2 linked regions of the Ovis aries genome follow. The protein of the gene in region 1 interacts with the protein of each later gene in a pairwise test. Links are inferred from orthologs where the notes say so. Each region holds a gene or a part of one and is shown on either strand. Other genes may lie near its edges.

Evidence for each region.
Region 2: the proteins of EXOSC8 (region 1) and OTUD4 interact in binary tests that used the Homo sapiens proteins (3 or more experiments, as listed by UniProt). The two-hybrid records come from large-scale screens. The link is inferred for Ovis aries from reciprocal best matches to the Homo sapiens genes EXOSC8 and OTUD4.

The regions. Positions count from the first base shown.
Region 1 is NC_056063.1:24,979,820-24,984,228, reverse strand, and holds the start of EXOSC8 (exosome complex component RRP43), read left to right. Parts: upstream 1-1,493; 5' UTR 1,494-1,518; coding exon 1,519-1,535; intron 1,536-2,829; coding exon 2,830-2,866; intron 2,867-3,098; coding exon 3,099-3,162; intron 3,163-4,147; coding exon 4,148-4,221; intron 4,222-4,409. Other genes in the region: ALG5 (dolichyl-phosphate beta-glucosyltransferase), read right to left, coding at 61-126. UniProt on the Homo sapiens protein: Non-catalytic component of the RNA exosome complex which has 3'->5' exoribonuclease activity and participates in a multitude of cellular RNA processing and degradation events.
Region 2 is NC_056070.1:13,174,842-13,179,317, forward strand, and holds the start of OTUD4 (OTU domain-containing protein 4), read left to right. Parts: upstream 1-1,550; 5' UTR 1,551-2,087; coding exon 2,088-2,246; intron 2,247-4,476.

The sequences.
Region 1 (4,409 bases):
CCGCGCCTCCAGGAGCGCAGTGAGCCCAGGTCCGCGTCTGTCCCCAACCCCTCTCCTCACCAGAATCAGGGCCGCGGCGGCCAGCGCCACGCCGAGCACCGCCAGCTGCAGCAAGACCGGAGCCATCCTCCATGCCGGGCCGCCAGCCGCCCTATCCCGCGTTTACACACACGCGGAAATGCGGCCGCGCAGCCCCGCCTCCAGCCCGCAGAGAGGCCATGCCAGCTGGGCGCCCGCCGCCCACAGCGCCACCTCGCGGCCAGACCCGGTCACGCCCGGGGACCCGCGCTGCCCACAGCGCCACCGCGTGACGAGACTATGTTGTGTGCGAGCGGCTCTGTTCAAACGCAGTAGGGTTGTCAAAATCAGCAAGGAGAAATAAACGGATGTCCACTTAAATTGAATTTCAGATAGCAACGGATCGGTTTTCAACAGCACTATTAAAGTATAACACACACTCAAAGTTCGCCCATTTAAGAGCTTTTTGTTATATTAACTTTGAAAAACTGATCAAATTTCCCATTTTAACCAGTTTATGTGTCTACTACAGGGACATTGACTGCACTCACAGCTTCCTGCAACCATCACTACCGCCTCTTGCTAAACCTTTCCCAGTTCTCCCCCAGCTTCTGGTAACAACTAACAACATGAACAATTTTGCGTGTACTCTTTGTTCACCTGACATTCAAATTGAATTGGATGTCCTGCGTTTTATCAGCAACCCTTTCTAGGAAGGAGGTGGAGTGGAGGTTTTGAGCCACGACACAGTCTACAACGAAAGTTGTTTCTTTGGAGCCCACTCTTGGCAGCTGCGTAATGTAACCTGATGTGGATAACCAGCGCACAGAATTTTTAAATTTTCGGTGCTCTAGCAGGAGGCTTTTACCTGGAAGAAGGCAAGCCCAGGGCTCAGCCTAAGGAGGAGGGGGAAAGAACGCGGAAACACTGGAATAATGCTCCACGCTCAACACTTGATTTTTTGCTATACCGTCGGTTTTCTCTGAAACTTTTGAATGGTGGGCTTCCTTGGTGGTTCAGCGATAAAGAATCCGCCTTCAATGCAGAAGACGCAGGAGACATGGGTTCCACTCCTGGTTTGGGAAGATCTTCGCAGTTTAGTATTCTTGCCTGGAGAATTCCAAGGACAGAAGAGGCTGGTGGGTTATAGTCCATCGGGTCGCGAAAAGTCTGATTCTACAGAAGAGACTAAGCACGCACGCTTGAACTATCAAACTGTTTCTAAACAAACACTCATAACTTTCGTAAAAGCCGATTCGCCAAAAACGTCAAGGTCAAGAAAACCTAAAGGGGCGACTGGCTAGGGGTGGTCGAAGCGAAGCCATGCGGGAAACCACCCTCACCTCTTCTACCTCTACTCTGGTCCATACAACCCTGCCTTCTACATATCAGGTAGCAGAATCAGTGTTGAAAGTGCTGAAGCGAAACAGCAGCGCGGGCCGGAGGGGTGGTGATACGCAGGCGCGGGCGCGGGCGCAGGCGCAGATCGGCGGGCGGAAGATGGCGGCTGGGTTCAAGTGAGTGCGGTAGGCTGGCGGGCGCGAGTTCGTAGCCTGGCGGTCGGCGGCTTCCCTACCCTTGGGATTTTCTCATCGGGAGGCCACCCCACCTGGTTCCCATTTGTTTCCACTGCAGAAGGAGACGTTGGGCGGGAGAACTGAAGGTGGTCGTAGTGAAGGGAAAGGGCGCATCTTCTCCCCAGTGATAGGAAGTACTGTGTTGAGCAGGTACCCGCTGCGAGCGCTAGGCTTTGTGTGTAGTGGACTTTGCTGCACAGGAGAGACACTTGTAATCTTGTAGAAAGCGTTGCTTCAAAACCTCAGGGCGCCCTGCTTTCTCTGCCCAGTAGTTTATGTGTAAAAGCATTCTGCCTCGTTAGAAAGGTTTTCCTTAAGCGTTTTCGGTGCTGCTCTCTGGGGAAGGCTATAGCTTTTCGTTCTGAGTCGAGTTTTAAATGGATGCAATAAATAGGATTCCAAAGGAAACCAGTTATATTGAAACGACCATGTATTTGTATAAACTCCGGGTTTTTGACACAGTGAAATATCTGTTTTGAAATTAACTTTCTTAGATAAGGCCTAGTGGGAAGTCTAAAGTAACTCCTGAAATTCGAAGTAACGATACGTCTTACACTTACCATAAAGTCAGGTCGCTCAGTCGTGTCCGACTCTTTGCGGGTCCCATGGACTGTAGCCTGTCAGGCTCCTCCATCCATGGGATTTTCCAGGCAAGAGCGCTGGAGTGGATTGCCATTTCCTTCTCCAGGGGATCTTCCCGACCCAGGAATCGAACCTGGGTCTCCCGCATTGCGGGCATACGCTTTACCGACCTTAGGCAACTATAAAGTAAAAACGAAAACATCTTAATCTGTGGTTGTTAAAGTCGCAGGTACGGCTAATATTATAGTGGTTTATTGCCTATGCTTGTAATCGAAGAATATGCTAAATTTAAGTCGGGGTAGTGAAAATAAATGCGTAATTTTTTTTTTTTTCCTACTAACGAAGTATTCCTGCTTCAAAGTATGAGTGATGCACACCTGGATTCATTCTCTTTTTAAAGAGGCCTAGGGTTTTGGTCTCGATCCTTATACTTGTTTAAAGCAGAATTAAAATCAGTCTTCGAGTGTGATTGTTATTGCAAAAGTAGCTACTTTTTATAATTAGCAACATGTGGCAACATAAACTAGAATTCATAACAGAAACTTAGTTACAAATTTTGGAGATTTCTGCTCCATCACCCCACTATTAAGATTGTTGTGTTTCTGGATTTATATTGATTTATAATTTATCTCATTTTTCTCATGTCTTTCAGAACTGTGGAACCTCTGGAGTATTACAGGAGATTTCTGGTAAGTAAAGGTGATTATGTGATGCCCTTTGATAATGGTATCATATGCTTTTTTCATAAATACAAGTATTAATCATGTTATTCACCTAATGTTCTAAGTATACTTCAGTTTTTAAAAGACAATTTTAAAGTAATACAGATTAATTTATTTGAATTAATGAGGTTCAGTGTGTTTTCCTTGGTCTGTGTAAGATATACATGTAGCTGTAATCTACTTTCATATATTTACTTAGAAAGAGAATTGCCGTCCCGATGGCAGAGAACTTGGTGAATTCAGAACCACAACTGTCAACGTAGGTGAGAGTACTTTGAGTTCTAAAAGAATGTTGAAGTTGCTTCAGTTCTGAAAATAGAATTTTTTTTCTTAATAGCAACTTTTTATTTGTAGAGTTTTTTTTAACTCACTCTCCTCTCATTAGTGGGCTTCCCAAATGTCTTGGTGCATCAAGAATCTACCTGCAATGCAGGAGACAGGTTTGATCCTTGGGTGGGGAAGATCTCCAGGGGAAGGAAATAGCAACCCACTGCAGTATTCTTGCCTGGAAAATCCCATAGACAGAGGAACCTGGCAGGCTACAGTTCATGGGGTCACAAAAGAGTCACATACGACTGAGCAGCTAAGCACATCCTTTCAGTTTTTATGTTCATATTAAATTTTAAAGTAACTCTGAAGTGTTTTCCCCCTTCAAAACTTGTAAGGTTTGGTTTCCTTCTATATCTTACATTATTAAATCTTCTGTTGCCAAACATGGAATTTTCCAATTTTACCCATATGACATTCCCAGGTTTTAGCCTCTGAGCCATTTAAACGGTGTTTTAGACAAATTCTACCAGGTCTAAGGGATTACAGTGATTTTTGTCAAGAAATTTTAATAACAGCCCTGTGATTAAATGACAAATGATTCACTCAAAATCAAGAAAATGAATAATTCCTAAAACAATTCGGTTGACCCTTGAACAGTGAGGGGGTTAGGAGCACTGACCTTCACAGAGTTGAAAATCCAAGTATAATCTTACCGTTATGGATTGGCACTCCGTATCCAAGGTTCAGCATCCTTAGATTCAACCAACTGTGGATCACGTAGTACTGTGGAAGTATGTATTGAAAATAATCTTTGTATAAGTGGACCTGTATAGTTCAAGCCCATGTTGTTTAAGGGTCAACTATAATTTTACCAAGACTCAAGCAAGGAGTAAATTTTCACGGACATCTTAGATATTTAGAGATAAAAATCATACATAAAAGAAGAAAACATTTTCATTTTAAAAAAATACTTTTCAGGTTCGATTGGTACCGCAGATGGTTCTTCTTTAGTGAAGCTTGGAAATACTACAGTAATTTGTGGAATTAAAGCGGTAGGTTTAATATACTTACTACCAAGATTTGAGTTACTAAGTTAGCTTCATATACTTAGTAGATTATAATATACATCTATAATTCTACTGTTGATTGGGCAGTCAGGTGTTTTAGTATTTGTTTTCATTTCCCAAGTTTTAACCTTTGAGTTTTAGATAATACAACCCAAGTTTAATGACTTAATTAT
Region 2 (4,476 bases), on another chromosome or scaffold:
CTTTCACTTTTACTTTCCATTCCTCTGTGGGTTTAAAAGGCAAGTCATTGTTTATAAAAAGAAAGTGCCATATTGTAAGTAGTGGTAAAACTGGGCAGTTCTTTCTGAGTGGAATGAGAGTGCAATCGTATGTTTTAAATTATATATATATTAAAGAAGGAAAAGCAACAGGTTTGACTTGAAACTAGGTTTTTCTAAAAGGGATTCTGCAGTGTATTTCTCTACAAAATGTACAAAATTCAATAGTGGGACAAGAAAATTCATTTAGGTCAGAATCCTTTTTTTGCTTTCTCTAAAAACAGCACCATTGGATATTTGAATTTTTAAACCTTAAGAAATCAAATCTAAACGTTCCAAGGAGAGTGAACACACGAGTCATTGTTTGCACCAAATACTGAAAACAGATTTCTCAAATAGAATTTTCAGTAATTTGCACTGGACTCTCACCATCTGGCCTGCCTTGCCCCCCATTCCAAAGAATCTGTTTGACCACATGTCTACATCTACAGTAATTCTTCCATCTCCCCAGCCCCACCCTGCCGCACCATGGCTTCAAGAGCAGATTTTATGATTAACCGTGTATTTAAAAGATTGGGATACCAGATGCTGTTGTACTTGAATAAAAATAAAATTCTGGTGTCACAAAAACAAGCCGGATAAATTCTAGGTTCTAAAGGCATACACTCTCATTCAACTTCTCAGGGTGGGAAGCTGAACAGGAATCCTCCAGCAAACACCGCTGGATCCCAGGGCACGTCCAGCACGCTATCCAACAATTAATTACAAGATGGTTTTCTAAAAAGGAAAAAAAAAAAAAAATCTTAAGTTTTTCCGACTAGCGACACCCCTTTGTGCTGGGGTGGGCAGCTATAGTGGCAGGGTGAACCAAAATGTTTGTGGCAAAGGCATCATCTTGCGATATACCGCCAGAGCTGTACTTCTAGTCTCGAATAGGAATCAGCAGTCCACGGCTGATTTATGGACAGCCTGTATCGCCCCGCACGATGCGAGTTCCAGGAGCCTTCGCCAATTAGGTCTATTTTCTGCTTAAGCCGTTAAAGCCACCTCCATGGAAACGTCAGGGGAAGAGGCCGGGGGGAGGGGAGCAGACAGGTGCGCCCTCTGTTTGGAAATACACAAAGGGCCGACCCAGCGGCCTCCGTGTCCCTGGCAACTCCACGCACGCAGAGCGCGCGCACATCCCGCAGGCCCGCGGCGCAGAGGGCGGGCGGCCGGCCGGGCGGGGCGGCGCGCGCAGGTCTCCGCGCAGACCCTCGGCCTGCTGGAGGACGCGCGGTGCCCGGGAAGCGTGAAGCCGGCTCCGGGCGGCGGCGGCGGCCGCGCTGTAGGGACTTGTAGTCCGCGCGCCTCCCGGGCGCCTCCCCCCGCCGGGTAGGCCGGCAGCGCGTCCCCGCCCGCCGCAGGCCGACTTCCTGCCGCTGCCCAAACTACACCTCCCGCCGTCCTCTCCGCGGTCGGGGCCGAAAGCGAAAACACATTCTGGGCTGCGAGGGTGCTGCCCTCCCGCCGGGCGCCCCCGCCCACTCCCCGCCCCTCCGGCGCCCTCCTGCGAGGTGGGGAGACGGTCAGGCCGCGCCTTTCTCTCTCGGCTTCTTCGGCTCCCGGTGTGGGGCCCACAGGCCTCGCTTTCACCAAGAGTCTGGGCCGGCGCGCTCGGGTTGCGGGGGCTTCCTCGCTTCCGCCGGGTCTGGCGAGGAAACTTCTGTGTGTGTGTGGGGGCGGGACCCCGGGGCCCCAGTGGCTGAGCCGAGCGGCGAGGCCCGCGTCAAGTGACTGCTCGCTTGCGGGTTTTGGTGAATTCCCCGCCTCGTTTCCCCCGGGCGCGTGGCCCCGCGGGAGGCGGCCGCGTGCGCCCGGCCATGCACTAGGCAGGGCTCCCTATGCGCGCGGACCGCCGCCTCGGGCCGCCGCCGCCGCCTGCCGCCGCCCGCCCAGCGCGAGCCGGAGCCCGAGCCCGAGCCCGAGCCCCAGCCGCTGCCCGCCCCCGGCCGGGGCGTCCAGGAGCCGGCGGCGCGGCCATGTGGGGCTAGCCCGCGCCGCGCCGGGCCTGCTGCGCGACCGGCAACATGGAGGCTGCCGTCGGCGCCCCCGACGGCGGCGACCGGGGCGGCGCGGCGCCCCGCGAGGACGCGACTCCCATGGACGCCTATCTGCGGACCCTGGGCTTGTATCGGAAACTGGTCGCCAAGGACGGGTCGTGCTTGTTCCGAGCCGTGGCGGAGCAGGTAACGGGGCGGGGGCCGGAGGGGGCGATCGGCGGGGGGCCGGGTGGGAAGTGGCGGGCGGGCTGCCCGCCCCCCCTCAACCCGGGCTGCGCGTGGCCCCGCAGGCGTCACAGCGGCCCATTGTCGCCCCGGAACCGGACGCTGCCCTGGGACTGGGAGCTCCGAATCGAAACTTAAAAACCTGTAAATGATCTGGGTGTCGTCCCTCCTGGCGAAGAGGTAATGAGTTGAAGCTAGCCCGTGAGGCCTGCCGGAGAGTCTGCACCCTAGCTGAAGGGGTGGGAACTTGGCGAAATGCTGTTTTTCGCCTCCCCTTTTGGCTTTACAAGCACAGCGTTCACACCAGTAAGCAGAATGTTTACTAGAGGAGGTGGTGCACCAGACTCGACTCGTGGGATCATGATCCAGCCCCCCCCCCCCCGCCCCGCCCGGTTACTGGACTTTGGAGCGTGGGGTAGCCAAGCCCGCGGATGTCCGCCTGAGTCAGGAGTGGGGGAAATGTGCAGTTTGGGAAAACCAGACTTTAGAAAATGTAGAATGTTTGCACAGAATTGTCTTTGAGTAGATTTCACCTTGTTTTAATGTCCTGCAAGGCAGTGTAGGTGAACTAAAAGCAAATAATTGACTTAGAAAAAGTGTTTTAAAGTTGCTAGTGGGAAGGAAGACTGTATCTGGGGTCCTTTAGGTCTTTGGCCGAATTTTTCCCCCTTACTGATTAAAATCACTTTGTAATATAGTCCTTGGGAGGATGTTTCTGATTTATTTTTTTGGTAAGAGAGCTTATTCCCTATTATGTAACACTGTAGTTGGTAGGTATGCAGCCACCCAGATCCATCCTGTATTAAGAAATAGCTGTTGAATTAGTTGGACATAAATTTCATATTGCTGTCCTGGTGTGTATTTCCTACCGTTTTCCTTTGCTTTCCTTTGGCCTAAGATCTACCCCTTTCCTCTCCTGCCCCCCTTTGGAGTTTTTCTGTTTCTCTCACCCTTTTTAATGCTAAGTAGCTTTCGGAATTTCTTTTTGTGAGTAAATGTTTTCCTAAACATCTATAGACCAGTCTATTGTTTTTTTTCAAAGTCCAAAGGCCTGCCACTTATTTTCCAAAGGCCCTCGTTTTCACATCAGTAGCATAAGATATTCTTTTTTTTTTTTTTTTTTTGGAAACAAGAAATTGGTGTAGCTGGTCCAAACCTTTGCATTTTGCGGCTGGCATTGTCATTCATTCTTCGCAAAGCTCCCCAAACTGAGCTGTGTCTTTTTCAGTTCAATTGATTTCTCTTATTTTTGGAATTTTTTAAGATGTTCTAATGTTGCTTTGGGAGATGTTTACACAAACAGATCCCAGTCCTTACTATTAGTAGGTAAACAGTCTGTCCCATTGTTGAGTTTTCGGGATCACCATCTGTCCTGCTTCATCCGCCTCAGCCTCCTGAGTCTCCTCATCACCTCCAGAAGCAGAGGGAAGATGTGGAAGTGAATTCAGTCCCTATTGAAACATATTATTGGCTCTAGCAAGAGTTTGGTAAGGAAAGAGGTGGAAGCAAATAGAAATACGAGAAGTATGGTGCTTATTTGGAGTTGGATTATACACATCATAGTTTATATTGAAGCAGAAAGGTGTGGCTGGTTTCAGAACTACATACCACAGGTAATTGGCAAACTCGATTGTATAGACTCTCTTTTTAAGTAGAAATGAACAATAGCTAGCTGGTTACACGAAGAGCTCATTGCTAACAATAGTTAATGCATTTTATTATATCTCACTGTGATGGGATTTAAATTAGGCGTGAGGGAATGTCCCTTCCACTTACGGAAGGCTGACTTTTAGTACACTGAGCTTATAGAAAGTTTGTTGCGGTGACTCTTGGAGCAAACTCTGTTCTTCGGTAGACATGGACCACAGGTGTAGTCTTCATGGCCAAAGGTGGCGTGTGTGTTGGTGGTGGGGAGGGAAGTAACGGCATCCTCAGGCTGCCCTTCAACAGTGTGCACAAAGGATTTACTTTTTGCCAACAATTTCTCCAGTAATATTAGAATAACTACCATTTCTACCAGGGAGTCACAGTAAGTGATCTAAATGGCAGCCTTTGGCGGGGAAAATGCAGGGGGAGAGACTTGATTTAGCCAGAGTCTTCCCCTCCAAATTACCTGATTTAAATAACCCCTTCCCTTTTTACGCTTCTGGCCTGTGGCCTGCAGGAGGCCTGACCTGAATCAGCTCTGTGG